Linked DNA regions of Ovis aries. The protein of the gene in region 3 purifies or fractionates together with the protein of the main gene of each other region. This does not show direct contact. Links are inferred from orthologs where the notes say so. Each region holds a gene or a part of one and is shown on either strand. Other genes may lie near its edges.

The links.
Region 1: the proteins of RTN4 (region 3) and NADH-cytochrome b5 reductase 3 purify together in Homo sapiens (affinity purification with mass spectrometry; 3 studies listed by BioGRID and IntAct, counting the BioPlex papers as one, with this or other methods). This does not show direct contact. The link is inferred for Ovis aries from reciprocal best matches to the Homo sapiens genes RTN4 and CYB5R3.
Region 2: the proteins of RTN4 (region 3) and ATL3 purify together in Homo sapiens (affinity purification with mass spectrometry; 4 studies listed by BioGRID and IntAct, counting the BioPlex papers as one, with this or other methods). This does not show direct contact. The link is inferred for Ovis aries from reciprocal best matches to the Homo sapiens genes RTN4 and ATL3.

Annotation. Positions count from the first base shown.
Region 1 is NC_056056.1:219,410,865-219,414,512, forward strand, and holds part of NADH-cytochrome b5 reductase 3, read right to left. Parts: intron 2,866-3,648; coding exon 2,734-2,865; intron 1-2,733. UniProt on the Homo sapiens protein: Catalyzes the reduction of two molecules of cytochrome b5 using NADH as the electron donor.
Region 2 is NC_056074.1:38,478,679-38,482,326, reverse strand, and holds part of ATL3 (atlastin-3), read left to right. Parts: intron 1-578; coding exon 579-793; intron 794-931; coding exon 932-1,075; intron 1,076-3,648. UniProt on the Homo sapiens protein: Atlastin-3 (ATL3) is a membrane-anchored GTPase that mediates the GTP-dependent fusion of endoplasmic reticulum (ER) membranes, maintaining the continuous ER network. It facilitates the formation of three-way junctions where ER tubules intersect.
Region 3 is NC_056056.1:68,964,187-68,967,934, forward strand, and holds the start of RTN4 (reticulon-4), read left to right. Parts: upstream 1-1,037; 5' UTR 1,038-1,247; coding exon 1,248-1,812; intron 1,813-3,748. UniProt on the Homo sapiens protein: Required to induce the formation and stabilization of endoplasmic reticulum (ER) tubules. They regulate membrane morphogenesis in the ER by promoting tubular ER production.

The DNA.
Region 1 (3,648 bases), about 150 Mb from region 3:
CACAGTCCAGCTGCAAACAGAGGCCTAAGGCCTCCTGCAAGTGGATTCCAGGATTATCAACCAGTCCTGGGGTTCGAGGTCAGAAATCCACATGCCAGACATTTTTGGAGGAAGCACAGAAATGAGGCAAAGTCCCTGAAGATTACTGTGTTTGACGACCTCCAGCCCAGGACAGCAAAACTCACGAGGCTGACGTCTGAGAGAGCTTGGCATGCTGCTGCTTCCAAGAAGCCCCTGGCCACAACAAGCTGAGCAGTAGGTTCTCAGAGCTCAGGGCGACCCTGCCCATCACCTGGTCCAGGCCCGCTCGGACAGGGGAAGGGCGGGCGTCCGGGACCCTTCCCTGAGCCACAGCAAGTAGCGAGAGCAAGTCCACCTGCTGACCCTGCAAAGCCACCAGGAGGCTACAATGGGGGAGGGTAACTGCTAGGACATTGGACACTCGCCGCCTGCTCAATCACAGGGGCCTGCAGGGTCCACTGCGGACATCCCTGTGACAAACACCAGAGAGCTGTCAAACGGGATGACTCGGCTTTGGGTTAGACATGAAAAGGGGTCTGTGCGATGTGTGAAGGTGAAAGTGGTAGTCGCTCAGTCGCGTCTGACTCTGGACTGCAGCCCGCCAGGGTCCTCTGTCCACGGGGATTCTCCAGGCAAGAATACTGGAGTGGATTGCTATTTCCTTCCCGACCCAGGGATTGAACTAGCATCTCCTGCACTGCAGGCAGATTCTTTACCGTCTGAGCCACCAGGGAAGTCCATGTCGTACAGCCAGGTAAAAATGTTAGGTTATTTAAAAAGAGAAACTAAGTATACACACACCTGAACGTCCACACGTCATGTACATAACAAATGTGACGCCAGGGAAGGCTCACGATGACCCGTGACCGGGACCCTCTTGCACAGGGGTCATGGTGCAGGGGAGGGGAACATTCGCACCTTGAGAACAGAGCACGTATAAATATGTGCCTTTTTTTTATAAAAGTACAATTTTTACAGCGAGCACATGTAAATCATACATTACTTCTGGAATTAAAAAACAGTAACAAGGGTGTTCCCTGGTGGCCTAGGGGTTAGAATTCTGGGCTTTCACTGCCGTGGCTGGGGTTCAATCCCTGGTCCGGGAACTAAGATCCCACAAGCCACGTGGTGAAAAAAACAAGGAAAAAGAACTTTCTGAAAAGAAAAGCATTCAAAACATTGTGATTTCATTTTAGTAGGAAAAAATTGTGTACAGGACATACTGAAAGGACTAAGTCTGGTCTCATCTGGGAAGTGGTCTTTTTTTTTTTTTTTTTGGCCTCTTTCTGGTTTTCGACTTCTAAGAAGAACTCCTGGTACAATTACGGTCACAGGCGCTGCAGCTCTAACGTGGAGCCCAGGGCACAGACCAGAGCCCAGGATTCAGGCTTGCAGCAGGTGACTGGCTTTCTCTGCCCCATGACTCAGTTCCTCCCTGCCACACCCCTTCTGAGGCAGCTGCCTGTGGCCAGAAATAGCACGGGGGAGGCTTTGATGGGGGGAGTGACGAGGGAAGCGGCCCTATAGGGTGGGCGGCTGGGCAAAGATGGGGAGAGGATGGTTTTAAATCAAAGCCACGATCGGAGGTTTGAAAAAGGAAAAGCATTGTGCAGACACAGCCACAGTCAAGACCATGGGGACACGCAGGGAATCAGGACTCTAGGGGCCCTGGGTGGGTGGGCCTGGGAGAGAGGGAAGGAAAGGGGAGGAGACCTTATCTATAAGGAACGGGCCCTGGGATGCGGCACCCTGGATGACCACGAGGCCTATGCCTGAGTCCTAACCCAACCCCTAGCTCACAATGTGACCTGAGTTAATCCTCTCTTGCCCTCTGTTTTCACATCTGTTAAATGGGTACTTGGACCCAAAAGTCCAAGTACAGCATCGCTCCCACTCTGATTTTCTGTGGGATAGTAAGTGTGGCTCAGAGAACCTGCTCTGTGGTCAAAGACCCGGGTTCAAATCCCTCAGTAATTTACTGGTAGCCTTAGAAATGGATATGCGTGCATGCATGCCAAGTCGCTTCAGTCATGTCCGACTCTTTGTGACTCCATGGACTGTAGCCCGCCAGGATCCCCTGTCCATGGGATTCTCCAGGCAAGAATACTGGAGTGTACACGAATGACCAGCCATATACTTGAAGTTAGTGTCAACATTTATAAAAGCCTTCACAGCCAGTTCTAGAGAGGAAATCAATTATGCTGAAGAGCCAAGATACTCTTAAGAAGCAATAAATTATGCTGAAAATACATTCAATGATTAACTCAAAAAAATGAAATAGTCATGGTATAAAGAAGTCCAAAATATAAAGACAGTCAATTGCAAAAAATAAAAGTGAAGCTTGTATTTTAATTATTCCAACTGTTCTTACAATAAATTTGATGTAAAACCACCGAAAATACATTTTTTGAAAAACAGTGAAAAAAAAAAAAGAATACTGGAGTGGGATGCCAGGCCCTCCTCCAGGGGATTGAACCCGCATCTCTTATGTCTCCTGCATTGGCAGGCATGTTCTTTACCACTAGTGCCACCTGGGAAGACCTTAGAAATGGACATCACCTCACTTTCCCCATCTGTAAAATGGGCAAATAATGGGATCTACTTCAAGAGGGTCCGTACCCTAAGCACACAGTAGATGCCCACGAAATGCTCTGATGCTGAGAAAGAGAGAGAGGTGCCTGTGCCCCATGACCCCTCAGGCCCCGCACTGACCTCCTTGTCAATCAGCCGCAGCGGGTACTTGATGTCTGGATTCTCGAGTGTGATGGCCGGGGTGGAGCGCTGGAACAGCTTCATGATCAGGCTGTACAGGAACCAGACTGGGGAGAGGACCACGTGGCCCAACTGAAACGACAGGGCAGACACGAGAGGTCAGCTCGGCCCCAGGGAGGGTCTACCCCCTGCACTTCCCCCAAACACACCAGTTGGTCCACACCTCTGGACCGCTCCTCTGCCATGAACACCCTCTCTCCACTTCATCCAGGCACCCCGACTCCATCTTGGTGCCAGCTGGGAGACGCTATTAATACAAAACTCAGACTCATGAAACTCATCAGTGTATTACTACATCACTGGAAAAGCTCCATTTCACCTGAGGAACAGGGACAAAGAAAGCTACATAACTGAGCATGTAGCCCCTTTTCACTATGGCTGCCAGGAAGCTCAGCACAAAGTTCCCAAGTACCTGTGCTTAACCTTGAGTACTGCATATCTGTGCTCCCTTCCTCCCTCCTCGAGTCAATCTCCCTGACTGCATTAAGTGGTGTCAAGTGCTAGCTCTCTACAGACAAACCCCTGAGCCCTGGGGTTCTGCTTTCAGATGTGAGGGGCAGCCGGGGCACTGAGCCGGATGCTGGGAAGCTCTGCTCCTTGCTGGCTGGGTGGCCCTGGTCGAGTCCTCTCCCCTCCTCTGAACTGAACTGGACAAAGGTGATCTGCAAGGCCCCCTGAAGCTCTCCGCATCGTGCTGAGCCCCACACGGGGGTTAACCTCACGACGACTCTGAAGCAGGTGCTGACGTCACTGCTGCTTTACAGACAAGGGAACGGCTCAGGGAGGTGAAGCAACTCACCCAAAGGCACACAGCTGGCAGGTGGGGAGCTGGGATTCCAGCCCGAGTCCACCTCC
Region 2 (3,648 bases), on a different chromosome or scaffold from region 3:
CATAATCTTTTGCTTATTACTCTTCTTAAAGGTGGAATAGTTGTCTTTTTCTTTGGGATTTCTCTAATGATTCTGGATATGAGTCCTTTGGATTTAGGTGTTAAAATATTTTCTTTTAGCCTGTAACTTGCATTTTTACTCCCTTAATGATATCTTTTAATGAACAAAAGTCTTAATTTTAGTGAAATCTAATTAATTTGTCTTTTTTTTTTTTAATGGTTGGGTGCATTTGTGCTCTGTTTAAAAACTTTTTACTCTTCCATGCTAATGGCAACCCACTCCAGTACTCTTGCCTGGAAAATTCCATGGATGGAGGAGCCTGGTGGGCTGCAGTCCATGGGGTTGCTAAGAGTCGGACACGACTGAGCGACTTCACTTTCACTTTTCACTTTAATGCATTGGAGAAGGCAGTGGCACCCCACTCTAGTATTCTTGCCTGGAGAATCCCAGGGACGGGAGAGCCTGGTGGGCTGCCGTCTATGGGGTTGCATAGGGTCGGACATGACTGGAGCGACTTAGCAGCATGCTAAAAATACATATATTTGAAACTTTTTTTTTTAATCTCTATAACAACATAGGTGATGCTATGGAGAGTGGAAAGCCTTGTCCAGTGCAGGTTGTTTTGGTTCAGAAAGACCAACATTCCTTTGAGCTAGAAGAGAAAGCCTTGGCCAGCATCCTCTTACAGGACCACATCCGAGAGCTTGACGTGGTGGTGGTGTCAGTGGCTGGTGCCTTCCGAAAGGGCAAGTCCTTCTTTCTGGACTTCATGCTACGATACTTATATTTCCAGGTAAGGTAGAGTTACTTCATTTCAAATTGGAAAGTGGAGACTCTTGTGTCCAAAAGAGCAAACTCACCTCATGAGTTATCCTTGATGTGTAAAGTTACTTGAATAAGTTTTAATGGAAATTTCTTATTTCTCCTACAGAAGGAAGGTGGCCATTCAAACTGGTTAGGTGACCCAGAAGAACCGTTGACAGGGTTTTCATGGCGAGGGGGCTCTGACCCAGAAACCACCGGAATTCAGATCTGGAGTGAGGTTTTCACTGTGGAGAAGCCAGGTGGAAAGAAGGTAGGGAAGAAAAAGACTTACAAACTAACAAACAGTGAAATGGAAACTTTGATGTGTAGTCTGATAATCCAGTTAGAATGACTTTTGTCAAAATGATATAAGTTCAAGATTTAAAAATAATGCATGAATGCAGTTTAAAAGGCCAGTGGTAACGGAAGGCTTCTAACATGACCTAGTCCTCCATCTGCTCATTTTCACTTCCAGAGGCTAATGCTCTCAGCTGTTCAGAAGTTACTTTGCATTCTTACATCTGTCAACATTCACTCCACCCACCCCCCCGGCTGTCAGCAGCTCCTCTCATGAGCCTCCTAAGCTTCAGTGCAGAGCTTCTCCCCAGATTTCTTTGTAAGGGTCAGCTGGGGCAAGGTATATGTCTCCTCAAGTGGAAAGAGAGAATTTGGGGTTACGACTGTTTCTTAAATAGACTTTAACCCCTTCCTTCTGTTTTTAGTCTCACCCTAAAGCATGTTTTCACGGTTGTTTGTGCCTCTCATTTTTTGAGTCTTTCCAAGGCTTAAGATTTCGTATCTCCCCTTCACATTGTTCAGTTTCAGTCTTTTCCTTGATGTTAAGTTATTAAATATTTTGGGAGACGGAGAATTGATGCATGACTCTTGATCACTGTTTCCACAGCTTCTGTTTTATTTTATGAATTTCCTTATTATTTCTTTAAATATTTTGTTTCTCTCTGTTTTAGTGAAGTTTCAGGAGAAAGGTATATTAGAAAACCCTCTAATTTTTTTTCAATGCTTAGATATGCATACAAAAAAAATGTATAGCAAAATAGGGAGATTTTTACACTTTTTTTTTTAAAGGAAGAGAATGTAGAGGAATCCCTGGCAGTCCAGTGATTGGGGCTGTGTGATCACTGCCGAGTGCGTACGTTCAGTTCCCGGTCAGAGTACTAAGATCCCATAAGCCGTGGGGGCGAGGGGGTGGGTGGGTAGGAAGAGCCTGGGAGGAGAATGAGGATTTTTTGAAATATAACATTAGAAACTTTTGCTTGGAGGAATCTTTAGATATTATTTTATCCATTCTTTAATTTTTTTAACAGCTTTATTAAGATGCAATTGATATTCCATTTCTCCCCTCCCAACTTTTGAGCTTTTGTCATATATTTTACTGTAATAACGTTGTTTTTATTTTTATTTATGTTTAAATGTTCAGTTATCTTTTAAAGATATTTAAATAATAAGAAAAAAGCCATGTACTTACACACGCAGTTACCATTAACTAACTGTGCTTCACTTTCTGCGTCCAGATTTCTGTTTTTTGTGTTCATTTTTCCTCCCACTTGAAGGACTTCCTTTAATAGTTCTTATAGCGCTACTCTTCTGCTGTGGAAATCTTTTAGCTTTTGTTCTGTGTCTGAAAAGTATTTCACCTTTGTTTTGAAAATAGTTATGCTGGGTATAGAATTCTAGGATGGGAGTTTTATTCTTCAGTGCTTCTGAGATGTCAGTCCCCTGCCTTTTTGCTGACATTGTTTCTGCTGAGAAATCTGTTATTATCCTTATTTTTGTTTGTCTCTGTTTAATGTGTCTTTTTTTGTCTGGTTGCTTAAAAATTTTTTTTCTTTATCTTTTTTTTTTTTAGCAATTTGATTATGACATGTCTGTGTTTTGAGCTTTTTCAATATGCGGATTTATAATTTTTATAAAAATCAAACATTTGGGGGGCCATTGCTTCTTCAAATATTTTTTTGTCCCTTATCCTCTTTGGGGAGTCCTGTTATACATGTATGTCAGTCTGCCTGAAGTTGTCCCGCAGCTCACTGATGCTCCATTCATTGAAAAGATTTTATTTCTCTGTTTCCTTTTGGATAGTTTCTGTTGCTCAGTCTTCTAGTTCACCAATCTTTTAAATCTGTTGTTAATCCCATCTAGTGTATTTTTTTCTTTAAATATCTTTTCTTTATTATTTATTTTCACTGTACTGAGTCTTAATTGTGGCTCACAGGGCCTTTGTCACGGCATAGGGGCTTCTTCGTTGCGGCAGACGTGGTGTCTAGTTTCCTGACCGGGGATTGAACACAGGCCCCCTGCATTGGGAGTGTGGAGTCTTACCCGCTGGACCATCAGGGATGTCCCTCATCTAGCGTGTTTTTCATTTCAGACATTGAGATTTTCATCTTCAGAAGTTTATTTTAGGTCTTTTTTTTTTTAATGTTTTTCATGCCACTTAACTTTTTGAATGTATGAAGTACAGGTATACAGAATACTGTTTTAGAGTCATTTTCTATTTTAAATCTGTGACAGTGATTTTTTTTCTCATTTGGGTGGTATCTTTGCATGCTCATTTGGGTGGTATCTTTGCATGCCTGCAAACTTTTGGTTGGATGCCAGATGTGTGAATTTTAACTAGTTGGATGCTGGATATTTTTGAATTCCCATAAAATACTTAGCTTGTTATATGGGATGCATTTAAGAAACTTGGAAGCTGATGGATCTTTTTGGGTCTCGCTTTTGAATTTAGGGTTTGTTAAATGAGACAGCTGTATCTAAGCTAGAGCTATTTGTTCCTTACTACTGAGGCAAGACTTTAGAATTACAGGGCTTTTGTAGTCTGACTGG
Region 3 (3,748 bases):
CTTTCTTTAAACTCTCCAGTTCTGGAAAAAGTGGAATGGGGATTATACTCATTTTGATATATCAAAGAAATGAGTATGTATGTATCCTGACTCCCAGAAAGCCTGAATCATCCAGAATGTTGACTCATGGGCCTAAGGTGACTGAAATACAATGTGAATCAAATTTGCCTTCCAAGGCATCCTTCTCTTTCCACTTTCCTCTCTCTCCTCCCTCTTTTGGGTGACTCATCCTTCTACCAGTTAAGTCCAGCAGCGTGCAGATCCCAAAGCCCTCTTTGAAGAAGTACAGACTCATCAAATGGTCTGTTCCAGTCAGTCCCTATATCGTCTAGCCTAGTTGTTTTGCCTACCTCATCCAGGGTCTGCAGTTAAGACTGGGAGTGACTTTAAACCTGTAAAAAATATTATTTTTTCTTTTAAGGTGGTGATGGTGATCCCCTTAAGGTGATAAGGTGGCTTGGGAATTTAAGTTTGAAAGAAAACAAATTTTCATTTCGAAATTTACAATTTAACGTTTGCTTCAATCCTTAGGGCCTACTCCACAGTACCGTTATTCATAACCTTCCTGCGCTCTGGGTTTTTTCCTTTCCTGGGAGGAAAGTTTCCACTCCCAGTCTCCAAGATAACGCCCTTCCGGTGGCGTGCCAGGAACGTCTCCGACCCCTCAGTGCTGGGAGGGAGTCGTTTCGTTTTCTCAGTGCTGTAAACACACAGACTCCAGCTTCGCCAGGGCCAAGACCAAGACCCCAGCCGGACCCGCAACTACCCTAGGCAGTCGGTGGGGTTCCCAGCTCCAAACCCCGCCCATCGAACCCACCCGAGCCGGTAAGAGAGAGGAAGTGCAGTGAGACCCACCCACTTTCGTCTTTTTCCTTTTCTGTTGGGCCGACTGGTTGCCCGTCAACTCTATTTCTTCGCCGATTGGCTCACTCCCTCCCGCGTTAGTGCCTCCCTCTCCCTGGCTGGGAGGGTGTCACGCCAAACTGGGCGGAGCGTCGGCTGGCCTCTCTCCTTCTCTCATCTGGGCGGCGGCGGCGGCAACTGGGGACGGGGCGGGTGGCGCATCACGGGCGCGGAGGCTGGAGGAGCAGTCTCATTGTTCCGGGAGCTGTCGCCACTGCAGGTCCCTCGGCTCGTTGGGCCCTGCCCCTCTCAGTCCTCCCCGCCCCCCACAACCGCCCGCGGCTCTGAGAAGAAGCTTCTCCGGCGGAGGCAGCAGCTGCAGCATCACCTCTGACCTGCCAGCCATGGAAGACATGGACCAGTCGCCTCTGGTCTCCTCGTCCTCGGACAGCCCGCCTCGGCCTCAGCCCGCATTCAAGTACCAGTTCGTAAAGGAGCCCGAGGACGAAGAGGAAGAGGAGGAGGAGGAAGACGAGGACGAGGACGAGGACCTGGAGGAGCTGGAGGTGCTAGAGAGGAAGCCCGCCGCCGCGCTGTCGGCGGCCCCGGTGGCCGCAGCCGCCGCCACCCCGGCTAGCGCGCCCCTGCTGGACTTCGGCAATGATTTCGTGCCCCCGGCGCCCAGGGGGCCACTGCCGGCCGCGCCTCTCGCCGCTCCGGAGCGGCAGCCGTCTTGGGACCCGAGCCCCGTGTCGTCGTCGGTGCCCGCGCCGTCCCCACCCTCCATTACAGCAGACTCGCACTCCAAGCTCTCTGAGGACGAGGGGCCTCCGGCCCGGCCTCCCCCTCCTCCACCGGCCGACGTGAGCCCTCAGGCCGAGCCCTCGTGGACCCCGGCTGCCCCAGCCCCCGCCGCGCCCCCCTCCACGCCGGCCGCGCCCAAACGCAGGGGCTCCTCGGGCTCAGTGGGTGAGTGCCGCGCCCTCCGCCTCGCGCCGCCCCTCGCGCCCCTCCCTCTTTTGTGCGCAGCCCCTAAAGCCTGGACCCTGCCCTTCTGTCCATCCGGAGGGGGCTTTGTCTGCAGATCTTTGGGCGAAGGCGCCCCCGCTGGTGGGAGCCGCGGGGAGCAGGGTGGGGCGGCAGAGGAAGCTCCGGCTTACTCTTTATTGTCCGTCTGGGTATCGGGGAGCACGTGCGCCCCGACCGCTCCCGGGTTGTTCTGTCTGCTCTCCATTCCACCGGGTCGGGGAAGTTAGGAACCCACCCCTTGCAGGAACTGGGTCTGTAATGAGGGAACTAGGGGTGTGGATTCATCGGGCTGCCTTGGTTCCGGGATGAGGATGGAAGGCCTTGGCGCCCTAATCTTTTGTCTGCCCAACTAGGTTGCTCCTGAGGAAAAGACGCAGTTTCTTGCTGGTCTTTGCCTGCATTCAGCCCTGGCCCCTCTCCTCACCCCTTCCTTGGCTTGGGTGGCCCCATGCTCTTCATCTCCCCCGCCCCGGCCCCGCGCTCGTGGGGAGCCGGTCCAGTGGAAAACGTCCACATTGACCTGACTGCAGTGAAGGGACAGCGCCTCCAGTGGTGTGACGCGTGGAGAATTGCGGAGCGGAGTTTCGGCGAGGTCCTGCCACCGCCCAGTTTACCCGGGTTGTGATGTGGCTATTTACCACCAGCTTAACGGCGCCGGGGAAATGGGACCTGGGCACCGTGTTCCAAGGGGGCGCAGTTCTGCCGGGAGCTCTGCCGCAGAAGGAGGGGAACAGTTGTTAGGATGCACAGGTTTAGTCTCAATGCATCGTAATTGAATCGTAGAGATAAAAGGAAAAGGCAAAATGGTTGACATTCCCAAAGAAGGGGAAACCTGTGGATTCCCTGGCGGGAAGAGGACAGTTGAACTTCTGGCAGATTTACCATGGGACTTCATGAAATGTTTTCAGACAGACGTTTTCATCTGTTGGTTAGAAATACTGTTTCGTAGAAGTAATATATTTTAGGGCTGCAGAGACAGATTTGCATTGTCCGTAAATAGTTTTCAAATCTTTTCATTTACCAGCACCTGATTGTTATTACTGTTATTAGGAAAAATTGTTTTATTATCCTTTTCATTTTGGGAGATTGTTTATTTTGGAAGAGAAAAAAGTTTGTTAGAGGTTGAGAATTCATCCTATTAGACACGTTAATTAACTTATTAACAAGTAGCTTGTTAGTTTGGGGACAGAAAGCGTCGCACTAGAAGTAGGACCTTTATGTGTAAATAGGCAAGGATCAAGAATCAGGTAGTGTAACAGTCTGGTGAGAAATTGTCATAGCCTTGTAGGATTTTAGAGCCGGTTGTTTTTCTAGAAAAAGATACTCAGTGGGAGATCATGGAAGAATTTTCTTTTCTTCGGCTCACTCCTGCACCACAAGGAAGAAAAATAAGTCAATAGTGATATCGACATACCCCACAGCATTACTCAAAACATTAATTACTACACTACAGATAATTAGAATGTGAGAAGTAACTCAAGTTTTCCTTTTTATGAGTGAAAACACATTTCGAGAAACTAAAGTAAGGTGGAAAAATATCAAGTAATAAGACATTTACAAATGATAAATTTAATGATTAAGAAAAGCAAACTGATTTTTCATATTGTATTCCTGTGTGGCAACAAAAGAGTTCTGTGCTTTGAACCTTGGAGAGTCAGGAGGTGACAGCATTCTTTCTGTATTTTGACTTTAGGAATACTAACTTTGGAAGACAAAGGAGAGAATGTTGAGTCACTTAGCGATTCTATCTTTACATGGCTCCCTAATTCTGTATTGATGTTGCCTATCTAGAAATTTTAGTTCCTTTAGGACATAAAGGAACACTGTGATTATGGTCAGATAGTTAAACCATGTCACTGAGTCTGGCTTTCTTAAC